Linked DNA regions of Nothobranchius furzeri. The protein of the gene in region 2 interacts with the protein of the main gene of each other region in a pairwise test. Links are inferred from orthologs where the notes say so. Each region holds a gene or a part of one and is shown on either strand. Other genes may lie near its edges.

Region 1 (4,245 bases), on a different chromosome or scaffold from region 2:
AGTGGCTCTCACCCACACCTGCTTCTATCCATGCTCAAACCTCCCTCAGACATTCTCGTTAAAAACAATGGACCCGAAAGTATTTTTTTGTTTTGCTTTCTGAAGTTAAAAATGAATAAAAATAACTAAAATCTTTAGACGTTCCTTTTAAATTGCTGCATTTGTCATCAGCACAAACAGAAAATAATAAATTAGAATAAATGAAATAATTTTGGGGAAAAATCTCATTTAATCAAAGTTTTATATTAGTCAAGGGTCTGTAACAACTAACTTATGATGGCTGCAGCTAAATAGTCAAGTGTGTTCATGATTATAAGATCAACACGGATGTTCCAGATGAAGAAAAAGTCCCATTCAAAGCAGAAACTCTGTTGCAGACCAGAATGAACAGATGAAGAATGAAAGTAACAGTGAAGTTAAATGATCAAAATCCCACATTCCCAAAGTTGGGATCAGGACCCCCTCAGGGTCACAAAACACTAGTTTAAATTAAATTTTAAAAAATTTAAAAACATATCTTATTTGTTTGTTTTCCCTTTACTTGTGTAAAAGATATAAATAATTGGCTAGTTCTCTTTATACTCTTGTTTACCTTGTTTAATTATCTGAGGTTATTTTGTCAGATGAAAAGTTTGTGAACCACTGATCTGAATCAGATTTGAACAATCAGGATCTGAGTTTCTTCTGTTTGAAGTGGAGCCAGAAAACAAGCCAGAATGCCCCGAGGCGTTCACTGGATCGGTCATTTCACAGGGCAATGGTGGTCCGTACTGTAACATGCAACTTTACTTTCTCAGTTTCCTTGTCATTATTTAGTGTTGGAAAGGAGGACCGCGCCCCGATAACCATCCTGAGGACACATGAGACAATTCATGCCATCTGAGCTGCTCGTCTTTCTGCCACAGATCTATTCACCGTAATCTGCATTTAACTATTGCATGAAAACAGCTAAATGCCTCCATGCATAAAGTGTATGTTTTATGCATAGATCACATTGTTGTGACTGCAGATTGGTTTCAGCAGTTGTCCTGATGATGCAGTTTGTACCCCTGCAGCAAAACTCTAATTCTGGACATCAATTAAGTGCTTTTCTGGAAGGTAATGGGTTTTGTTTTCCTCATGTTATTTTTGTGCACCTTGGAACCAAAAGCACCAAAAGTATCCTCAGACTTAATTATTTGAACAGTTTTAACACTTTTAATAGAAAATGATGGGATTGACTCAATGTGGATGATGATAAAACTTTACTGTGCTCATCGTATGAGTGTGTACGCGCGTGTGTGCGTGCGTGTTGAAGCTCCAGGCTGCAGGCAGATTGCAGGAGAGAGTGGGAGGAGCGGAAAGTGCTCCAGTCCAATCCGGGCCGACGGGTAAAGCCGCTCCTGTGCGCTCTTCCCTCCCTCCGCCCGCAGAAAACAGTGAAACTCTCCCGTAGATGTGAGAGCGCAGATGTCATGAGAACAGCGGCAACACGACCACAGCACTCCGACCGACGCGCCGACCGACCTCATCGCGCCCCAGTCTGGGATGCTTTTAGCGCAGACACGTTTCCAATCAGTGCAGCCGGTGGACGTTGACGCGCACCGTCTACGCTCTTTTTGCCTTCGTTGTTATTTTTAACCGAGGATCTTTTCTCCCGCACACACAGCAGCAGCCCCCTCCACCTTTTTAAAAAGAGTTTATTTTTGTTTCTTCATGACTGCTGCTTTGGGAAGCGAGCCTCAGCACCAGCTCCAGCTCCAGCAACGCCAACACGATGCGAGGTAAGACCACAGCGCTTCCCACAAGCTGGAGACGCGCACGGCACGCGACACTCCGCATTAAAATTAGAACTTTATTCTAATTTCATTATTTAATTCTGTTTCATTATGAAGGGTTGTTGTCACTTCACTATAAATATTTACATCTGCTTCTCTGTATCTTATTGCATTTTTCTGCCTTTATAAACAATATTAAAAGTTTTCTTTTTCGATTTATTTCCCAGAATTTCGTTCTGGCCCCAAGTGTGACAATACTTAAGCTGCACGTTAACACCTAAATCCACTTTGGTTACAAAGCAAAAGTGGCGCATGACGCGTGGAACTCCACACACCGGTCTGACTGCCCTCAGGTCCAATCAGGTTATCACTGAGTCATAATTTATTTTATTGTCCGTGAGTCCGGTGATCAACTTTATTGAATGATGTGGGGGGAACTCTGAAGCGCCCCACTAACCCATTTCTCCACGCGCTGCGGTGCGTCGTGGATGTTGAACTCCAATGTCAATGTCGTCTTGTGCGCGCACTATCACGCGCGCGCTGTCTCACACACCGAGCCGCTCATTGACCCACAGGTCAACAACTCAAGCCTTTCCTCTAAGTTAAATTCACTATCAGTCAGAAAAAAGTAATTATTTTTTTCGTTTTTCCGGTAATATTTTAACTGTTGACTCATTCAGGGCCCTTTCTCTTTTTCACGTGGACTTTCCACTCTGTGTGAAATTATATCCAGCTCACTGGTGAATGGCTGTTGCTCCATAAAGTTTAATTAATCTTTTTTTAATCATATCATCAGATCATAACTTCTCACAGTGCCAGTGTCTGACTTTTGAAGTAGAAAAACATTTGAAACAAAAAGGCTATCCTGTCAAAATAAAAACAACTGAAATTTCAACACAAACAGGTTCACTTTAGAAAACTTCACTAAAACAATGAGATCATTATACGGAACTGGTCAGTTATTTTCATGAAAAAAAAAGTAAATATTTTAGCAACACATTTCTTGAAAAGGTCCAATTAGAGGCTGCAATAAAGTTTAATTCAAAGCATTTCCTGCTAATTATCTATCTATCTATCTATCTATCTATCTATCTATCTATCTATCTATCTATCTATCTATCTATCTATCTATCTATCTATCTATCTAGAATGGATTTGTGTTTTATGGTCACATAACTGCTAGCGTCAGGCCATGCATCCTGACCAAGTAAAACCATGAGAAGTTCAACACCCCCTTCGCCCCTCTCCTTCTTTCTCCATAATCCCATGACAAACTCTTCTGCCATCCACCTTGTGTTTTATCTACGTCCTAATGGGTCTTGCGTCCACTCTCGTGCACGGGAGGCTTTGAGGGGCGGGGGGTGCACACAGAAAGCTTCTGCTTTCACTTTATAGCCGTGGTTGGCAGAAGAGGCCCCTGAAGCGTCTCCCTCACCCCTCTTTCAGCATCTCTCTCTCTCTCCCTCTTTCTCCCACTCTTTCCTCTCTCTCTCTCTCTCTCTCGCTCACTATCCATCTTCCTCTCTCTCTCTCTGCACGCCCCAAAGGGTTTTGTCAGATAGAATTAAATCAGTGAGGGCTGTGCGGCCTCCGCTCCCAACCTGTGTGTGTGTGTGTGTGTGTGTGTGTGTGTGTGTGTGTGTGTGTGTGTGTGTGTGTGTGTGTGTGTGTGTGTGTGTGTGTGTGTGTGTGTGTGTGTGTGTGTGTGTGTGTGTGTGTGTGTGTGTGTGTGTGTGTGTGTGTTGGCTGCCCTTACACAGAAATGTGCTCACAACCAAGGTTATAAAAAATAGAGGCCTCTCATGAGCCGTGGTAATTAACATTTAACAAAAGCTACAACTCCTGAAGCCCTTACCGAAGATGATGTCACTGCATCACCCGGTGTGGAACAGCCAGAAAAATAACATACATGATATTATCATAAGGACATTCACAGCTTCTGAGGACATGGACCGTTTTTTTTTTTCTTATTTCAAAGAGGATAACTGTTTTTGTAACATGACGATAAATTATGTGTTGTGGATGCTGTTCCAAAAAAGTAAAGATAAATGATATTACAAACAGCAGCTGGATGTAATTTAAACTGTTAAAATATAATTGCTTTAACAAAAATGAACTCTTCAGTTTTGTTTAATTAACCCCCCCACCCCCCCACCCCCATCCCCACCTTCACCCCAACAACATTATTGCTATTTATTTTGACTAGAATGAGCAATAAATTGAATCTATGTAATTAAAAATGCACAACATTCCAGGTTGAAAGTTTTTCTATATACAGGTGAAACTCAAAAATTAGAATATCTTGCAAAAGTGTGTTAATTTCAGTAATTCATCATAAAAAGGGAAACTAATACATGAGATAGACTCATTCCATGCAAAACCAGAGATTTCGAGCCTTTGTTCTAACTGTGATGATTACAGCTTGTGAAAACTCCAAATTAAAAGTCTCAGACAGTTAGAATATTGTGAAAAGGTTCAATATTCTAGA
Region 2 (4,315 bases):
CACCGCGCCTACACCGCAGCCACGGTAAACCCACCAAGATAATATAGTTTTTTAAAAAACAAGACGGTTATTATTATTGTCAACTTTTTTTTTTTTACCGGGGTTTACCGCTACACTGGTTACCGTGACAACTCTACCTGATCGGTTTGCTTTGATCTATTTTGAAAATTCCGATCAAAACCGATAGGGGCGCTATCGGCCGATTACGATCAAATGCCGATCCATCGGTGCATCCCTAGTTTTGGTCAGGTGTAGAGCAAAAAGGTGCAGCTCCTTCCTAAAAAGCAAATAATCTCCAATAGAAAATAAGAGGATGCTTAGACTTTTGCATTGATGTTACTAATTTTTTTAAATCACAGCTCATCAGATCTCCAGACTTGATCCTGTTCATTATGGCCCAGTAGTTGCTGCTTCAGAAACCTTGTGGTTTGATCAAGGGTAACTTTCCACACATAAGCGTGGCCCGGCTGCCCTGTCTTTAGCACAAAGAGCTTTGTGTCTTCAGCTGATCAGCCATTTAACGTTAAACGTGCTAATATAGGCTTCTGAGATGGAGCTCCTTGTGTCTGTGATGATTTTTCTCTTTGGCATTGTGTTAACACGCGCCTGAGCTAAGACCTTAATTATTAAAGACATTATGCAACAATTCAGATGTATTCACCTAATACTTTATACTTGTTTAATGCCCAGAGACTATTTCACGGTGTCCTCTGTGTTTTCAGACTGTATGTCCTCATACTTCTGCTCATTCGTGTATTTAAGCAAGCGTGCTTCTGTTGGTGGGTGGGTGGCTCTTACTGTAGCTAGATGAAGGGTTGTGTGGTTTTAGATGAAGCTCAATTGCAAACGGAGTCGGGGGGGGGGGGGGGGGGGGCTAATCCAGTGAAATGGCAAGCTGCATAAAGAATTATGCACAGCTCTCAGAAGGCCCTTCACTTTTGAAAGACACAGCCGTGAGAGGCTTACAGCTCAAGACCTGAATGTTTTCAAGGTAGTGAGCTTGAATTTTCAATTTGAATCCAATCAAGGCTCATCTACATGTGTTGTGTGTTGGGTGGCTGTGAGGGAAGAGTGCAGAGAGAAGGAGCCGTGTGCAGTCAATCTGAAATGTTGCTAAGTAACAGCGATGGCAGACAAGGTGGGGAAATGAATGTGATATAGTGCTCTGCAAATCCCTGCTTCTCACATGGTTTCCTATTTTTCCCCTTTTTCCTTCCCCCACCACCCCTCCCTGTTTTCTCTCTATCTCTCACTTTTATAGATCTCCCCCCTCAGCTGTGAGCTCTACAGAGACACCACTGACAGAACAACAGACAACCATGGAATGCGTCAACATCATGGTGGTGGATTCCTGCTGACTCCTCGCTTGCTACTGGCATCAACCTGAATCTTGGCCTTCTGGGGTCCTGCAGCGTTTATAGGCATACAGCAATGCCTTGGAGGGCCGCCTGCCCCAGATTGCTTCCAGGCATGGTTGCTTCTTCAGCACGTTGCTGCTTGTAGCCTCTTCAGAACGATCCAAGTCCAGCGAGCGCATCCTTCTGCTCTTCTCTGTTCTCACCTGGCGCCAAGACCGGCCCTCTTTCTGGTGACTAACCAGTGCATGACTGAACCAGATGACCCAGATCACATTTATTTTCCAGTAGCAGTGCTAAGCAATACGAGGGGATCTGAGTATTGAACATGACTCATGGGGAGGAGCCTGGCCCTGAGACACACAAGGATTCAGCTGTTCTAACTTATCTGGAAGGTTTACTGATGCATCCAGTGGTGGCCGGGCCTGGGGCCACAGCAGGCGGGAGGTCCGAGGCTGTCCACAGCAATCAGCAACAGGGCAACAAGGTGGGGGGGTCCTTCCCACTAACTCACCATGCTCCAATAGCGCCCAAGGCTGGAACTAATAGACCGACTCTGGGTTCCTCACAACACCTGAAGAAGGCTCGCCTGCTGCGCTCCGGAGCGTGGAATGATCCGGGGAACCAGCGGCTGAGTTCACCCCCCATGGACCTGAATGGCCAAGTGGGAGGCCTGCAAAACGGAACGCTGGAGGAATCCCCTAATGCTGGAGAGAGCACCCTGTTGGCATCTCTGCTTCAGTCATTCACATCACAGCTTCAGAATGTGGCATTGTCTCAGAACACTAGTAAACCCACCAGTGAGTGTCCATCTCCAGCCAAGGCTCCAGCTGCAGACAAAGAGCCCCTACCTGTTTATGGGACAGCCTCCAGCCGCTTGAAAGGCCTCATGCGGAAGAGCAAACTACAGAATCACAACAACACCCCTTACAGCCGCCGTGGACACAGCCAGGACCGGCCACCAGAGTCCCCTCGATCAGCACACAGCGCCACGCCTCCTGCTGCTCCTGCTGAGTCGGTGTCCTGTGCTGAGCGTTTGAAAGCAGTGGCTAACTTGGTGAAAATTCGTTCTAGCCCCGCCCCCTCACCAAAGCCCAGCGTGGCCTGCAGTCAGCTTGCTCTGCTGCTGTCCAGCGAAGCACATCTGCAGCAGTACTCCAGAGAGCATGCTCTCAAAGCCCAGCTCTCAGGGAGATCAGCCAGCGAGAGACTGGCTGCAATGGCCAGCCAGCAGCACGACACAGACAAAAGGCCTCCAAGTGTTGGGGGGTCTCCAGACACACTAAGCTCCTTAGCAACTCAGAATGGAATGACAACTACCACGATGATGGCAACACTCCCTCGGACGGCAGTGTCCAGTCCTCAGAGCCCATCCCTGCTGCGTGGCCACAGCCAAAGCTCCCCACCCGCTGCTCCCCACGCGCCGAGCCAGCCCCCCAGAGAGAAAAGAGGCTTTGATGCTCGTCCAGTCCGCCCACCGCAGACATGCAGCAGCTTGCTGCTGCTGCTGCTGAACAACCACAACAGTCAGAAGCAGCTGACCAAGAACGGACACCTGGAGGACATCGGTGGCCTTCTGCCTCCAAGCGGCTCCTCTTCTGTCACGTCGGACAGTGAATGCTCCACCCATGAGAGAAGCATGACCAAGGACAGCAGTGATGCTGAGAGCTCCTACTCCAGCTGTTCCCCAATTGACCTCTCCATGAGAGGTCGTGGCAGTGCTAGTGCACAAGACACTGGGCCCAAAAATGCTCCCTCTTCTTCCTCTTCCGTCACCTCTGTGCTCTCTTCCTGTACCATGGTGCTGTCTTCCACCCCAGCATCATCCTCTCCTCAAGCCAGTGCTCAGCCCTCCACTTCATCCTACTCACCTTCTTCTTTGACTGTCTCCTCTGTATCCACTGCTATTTCTTCATCCTCGTCCTCCTCCTTCCCTACCTCCTCCCTGGACAAGCTAACGGAGTCTTTAATAAACAAGTGGAAACCAGAGCCATCCAGATCAAACGTCTCCAACAACAAGGAGCCAGAAATGAGTCCGGACCTAAAATCCCACCCGAAGGTCACTCTCATGCAGCTGCTGCTCGAGCGCAGGAACTCTGAGATGGCTAGCAAAAGCAGCGGGACACAGGACTTGCCTCTTGACATAACTATGGCCACCATGTCTCAAAGTCAGCAGAAAAGACTGATGTCCTGGGAGGAGAGCAGAACCAGAAGCTCCATAGAAAAGTCAGCAGGTCCGCCCCAGTCCCTCTACTCTTTTAGTCAGGACCCGAGTGGTGCACTTTCCCCGTATTCTTACCCCTCCCCCCATGTTCAGTCCAGCCCACTAGATTTGTGTAAGTCTAAAGCCTTCCCAGCTGAGAGGTCCTCAGAGCCAGCCTTTAGTGCCAGTAAACTGTTGCAGAATCTGGCCCAGTGTGGCACCACCACCTCCTCCTCCTCCTCCTCCTCCACCCCGCCCATCCCCTCCAGCAAAGGCCTGGGCCAGGAGATCGACACCAGCAGGCCCCTGGCCTTGATGGAAAGACTTAATGCTCCAGTCCACCGGACCAGCACCACTCCACTGTCAGATGGAGCATCAGGCAGCGGCACACCTTTCATTCACAAGGAGCCGTCCACTCCCTCCTCACAGATCGAGAACCTCCTGGAGAGGCGCACTGTGCTGCAGCTTCTTTTAGGAACCGGGTCGGCCGGCAGTACCACCAGCCGCAAAGACAAGTCCAGTGGTGGTTACCGGAGGAGTACTGAGGCAGCTGGGGGGTGCTACGAGACCAGCCCTGCCACCACTGTCCTTTGTGACAGCTCTAACGAACCTATCTTAGATGTGAAGGTAAAGTCTGAGCTCACAGAGGAGGCGGGGCCACCTCCTGCCAGGTCTGAGGACTTTAGCAGCAAAAAGAGACTGAGTGGCTGTGAGAAGAAAAGCCAGCTCTCCGACCCTCAGCAGGACTTGAAAACAG
Region 3 (3,658 bases), on a different chromosome or scaffold from region 2:
GTCGGTTCGTCTCTCAACGCGATTGACAAAATTTTTTCAACGATGTGAACGGGAGAAGGGGCTCCCGGATGCCCCTCTGGGACAGAGCCAGCTGGGCATATCATGGACTCCTGGAAACAGTGGAACCTGATCTGCCTCGCTCAACTGTCTGTAGAGGATTCTGAAGACGTCTGGATATTCGTGGTGTTGGTGTCAGGTTTCGTGCTTTTTGGCCTGAGTGGTTACCTGACTTACCGGAAAATTAATGAGCTGTCGAGGAATATTGGCTCGCTCCCGGAGCTCAGGGATGGATTACACCACGCTGTGAACGCATAAACTCATATAATTGTCGAGATGAGTCGTAAGCTTGGAACTTTGGCTGAGATTCAGACTTTGGCACAGAAGGTGGATTTGATCAAGGAGAAAGTTGACGGATCAGCACGGATTGGGATAGATAAATTACGCCATTACTGGATTTAGAGGGGTTGAGGACCAACAGAACTTTAAGACAGAGAGGAAATGATCTCTGTCTGGCCCCAAAACAAGTTCTTATCTGAATCTGGTGTCCTTGAGCCTGTGAGGCTGAAGAGATTACTCCCCCTCAGAAGAAATGTGGAATGCTGCCATCGCCATGGTAACTCTGTCTCCCTATCCCAGCCTGGGCGGGACTGTGACCGGTGAAGGCCGTTGAATCGCTCTCTAAACCCAACTACCTCCCTCCCCTGTCCAAACAGAGGTGACGAGCGCTGTTTATCATGGCTGCATGCACTGATGTGTGGACAGTCCCCAACCCTACCTCCCCACCTAGTGGACACTTATGTTGTGTAATGTTTGAAGTCTGTTGCATTTCTGTCTGAGGTGTTTTTTACATAGCGAAGCTGCCCCCCTGTGGAGGGTAACTCTGAAGTGCCTTTTTTTTCCTCCACCTGACTCAATCCTTATATATAAACCCTCTGATCTCTATTAAAGTAGCACCACTCGGGTTGCGAATGACCACAGTCACCAATTCTTGTCATGTGTCTATGACTATGTATATATGTCTGATCTCAGAATTGTGTGAACTGAAACTCTAATGTCCCTCTGGGATTAATAAAGTATCTTTGAATTTGAATTGAATTGTCTTTCATAAGATGTTTTTTAAATACTAGTATGCACTGAGTAAAATTAGCATATTTTCTCACAGTGAATTACCTAAGAATTTTCATAAAGCTAAAAGGATAAATTATCAAGTTTTAAATAAAAATGAATGGCAAGTGCTTAAAATAATAAAAGTGCATGTTTTTTCTTTACAATTATAATAAAATTATAATGCACTGATATGAAGTATTTTTGGTTTTAGATAATTCAATAAAAAACAGACCATTTCTTAAAATAAATGCTCCAAAAGTTTTTAATATTTGACAAATAAATAGTTGTAACACCAGGGTTATCAGAGGAAAAGTAACTTAACGTGTGTGCTCCATGAAAGGGGCAAAAGAAATGTTTTTTTATTTTACGTCATTTCAGCGTTGGCATTACATGAACGCGCCCAAAGATACGGGAATGCGCCTGCACGAACCCGGAAGTAAGCAACAACAAACTAGCTTCGTCGCCGCTCACCGAGCAGCGGATTATTATTGACCACAGTGACATTTTAACAGTCTTTGCTTTCAAATATATAAGTCAAATATTTTAATCGAAAAAGTTTGAGATGGGAACTACAGCGAGTCAACTCGGAAAGGCTGACCTGTCAGAATACCAGGTAAGTGTTTATCGTGTTATTTGCTGTAGTCCAGCAAATGCTGAAAACTTAGTTTTACAGAGTATATTTATACTAATCACACTTATCAAAGGTTTTGAGATAAATACGAAATTAGTCAGAATTTCAGCCAGGATAAGAGCAGACGCTTGTTGCATAGAAGCTAAACGTTGGTAATGCTGATAGCTTTGAATCAGAAAGGGGCTTGTTTTGACTTGTACTCATCTACAGTACATCTGATTTTAGGAGCTGACTTTCCTGACTAAACAAGAAATTCTTCTGTAAGTTACAGGTTGTATGACAACTAAGAAAATGTAAACTATTCTTATAGATCATGGGATAGATGTCTGATTTATTCCTGTTTTTTCCTAATAAGTGCTCATAAGAGATTCACTGAGTTGCTCCCCAAAGAGGAAAAAAACTCAACAAATGCCAGAGTTCCAATGACAAAGATTCTCACGCTGCCTGAGCTGAAGGTAACAGGAAATTTCAGTAGAAGTGTGGCAACGTTTCTATTTATTGGTGTAATCTTTATAGAGGAAGTGGATGATCTAATAAAGTGAACTTTGAACTTGTTCTCGTCCTAGTCTAACCCTTTCAAGGAAAGAATCTGCCTGGTTTTCTCAACAACTAACCCAAACGATGGAAGCTTCAGCTTTGACGATTTCCTGGATTTTTTGAGTGCCTTCAGTGACTCGGCTACGTTGGAAATAAAATCCCACTATGCTTTCCGTATATTTGGTAAATGTTGATAAAACACGAGCTGGTCAGTTTTTTCTTAGCTGCACTGATCTTGTCTGATCATTAGCTTTATATTTTCAGACTTTGACAATGATGGGACCCTCAGCTGTGGCGATCTGGAGAAGCTGGTTGACTGCTTGACTTATGAGTCGGAAGACTCGCGTCTAACCACTGAGGAAATGAGACAGCTCATAACTAATGTGAGTTCACTTCGACTGTTTTTTTTCTCTCAAAGATGCAAGAAGCACACTCCAAAGAGATGCTCTGAGGCATCATCTGGGCACAAATGAATCTTGCTTTTGTTTAGATCCTTGAAGAGTCAGACATCGACAAGGATGGGACGGTGAATCTCTCGGAGTTTCAGCATGTCATTTCAAGATCTCCAGACTTTGTCAGGTGGTTTTCCCAAAATAATATCTGACACATAAATCTTGAGGAAATGTTTTCTAATCATCACAATTGTTTTTTTCCCCCCACAGTTCTTTCAAGATTGTGCTGTGAGGCCTTGGAAATGGCCAACTTTTAATTTTGTTTTTAGTGAAAAACTATACTTGCCTTTAAATTTTACTTACTTCTGGATTTTACTCTTATGATTTTATGAATTGTTTGTGAAATTTATATATATATATATATTTTATAACATCTTTAAAATAAAAGTTTAAGGTATTAGATTACTAAAGTTCTTCATTGACACAAATAATTTATTACAAAACATTTTCCACAGCGTAACTTTCTGATGTAATTTAGACTTCCTTGTACGCCGACCAAAGTCCAACGTGGGGGCAGATTCAGGGGATTGTCAGGTATTTTTGAGATCAAGTACTCCCTTCTTGACGGCGGCAGTAAAAGTGTTCCACGGCCCACACACCACATCGACAACATGCAGGTCCTTGGCCTTAAAAAACTCCACACGTCGCGGTTCGTCTAAACTGTTAAATGTCTGGTGTCCAAGTTGGCCGTATTCTCCTGGGGGACAAGAACAGAAAAAGAATAGCTTAATATTTGCTGATAATATATTAAATTTCAATTTGAGTTGATATCCTGTTGTAAGAATAGAACAACTTTATTGTCTGACACCAAGCGGTTACAGAAATTTGTCTTTAAGAGGGCTCATCGTCATCCACCTCATCATTCACACTTTCATAGAACAGTAAATACAATAAAAAATCATAAAAAACTAAAAACACAGATATAAGCTTA

The links.
Region 1: the proteins of nrip1b (region 2) and rorb interact in a two-hybrid assay, tested with the Homo sapiens proteins (2 studies listed by BioGRID). The link is inferred for Nothobranchius furzeri from reciprocal best matches to the Homo sapiens genes NRIP1 and RORB.
Region 3: the proteins of nrip1b (region 2) and calcium and integrin-binding protein 1 interact in a two-hybrid assay, tested with the Homo sapiens proteins (2 studies listed by BioGRID and IntAct). The link is inferred for Nothobranchius furzeri from reciprocal best matches to the Homo sapiens genes NRIP1 and CIB1.

The regions. Positions count from the first base shown.
Region 1 is NC_091757.1:36,863,291-36,867,535, reverse strand, and holds the start of rorb (nuclear receptor ROR-beta), read left to right. Parts: upstream 1-1,416; 5' UTR 1,417-1,756; coding exon 1,757-1,763; intron 1,764-4,245. UniProt on the Homo sapiens protein: Nuclear receptor that binds DNA as a monomer to ROR response elements (RORE) containing a single core motif half-site 5'-AGGTCA-3' preceded by a short A-T-rich sequence.
Region 2 is NC_091750.1:42,800,810-42,805,124, reverse strand, and holds the start of nrip1b (nuclear receptor-interacting protein 1), read left to right. Parts: upstream 1-1,456; 5' UTR 1,457-1,683; coding exon 1,684-4,315. UniProt on the Homo sapiens protein: Modulates transcriptional activation by steroid receptors such as NR3C1, NR3C2 and ESR1. Also modulates transcriptional repression by nuclear hormone receptors.
Region 3 is NC_091744.1:74,253,996-74,257,653, forward strand, and holds calcium and integrin-binding protein 1, read left to right. Parts: upstream 1-1,457; 5' UTR 1,458-1,669; coding exon 1,670-1,720; intron 1,721-1,963; coding exon 1,964-1,998; intron 1,999-2,093; coding exon 2,094-2,193; intron 2,194-2,304; coding exon 2,305-2,458; intron 2,459-2,539; coding exon 2,540-2,658; intron 2,659-2,765; coding exon 2,766-2,854; intron 2,855-2,937; coding exon 2,938-2,959; 3' UTR 2,960-3,129; downstream 3,130-3,658. Other genes in the region: RCC1 domain-containing protein 1, read right to left, coding at 3,258-3,424. UniProt on the Homo sapiens protein: Calcium-binding protein that plays a role in the regulation of numerous cellular processes, such as cell differentiation, cell division, cell proliferation, cell migration, thrombosis, angiogenesis, cardiac hypertrophy and apoptosis.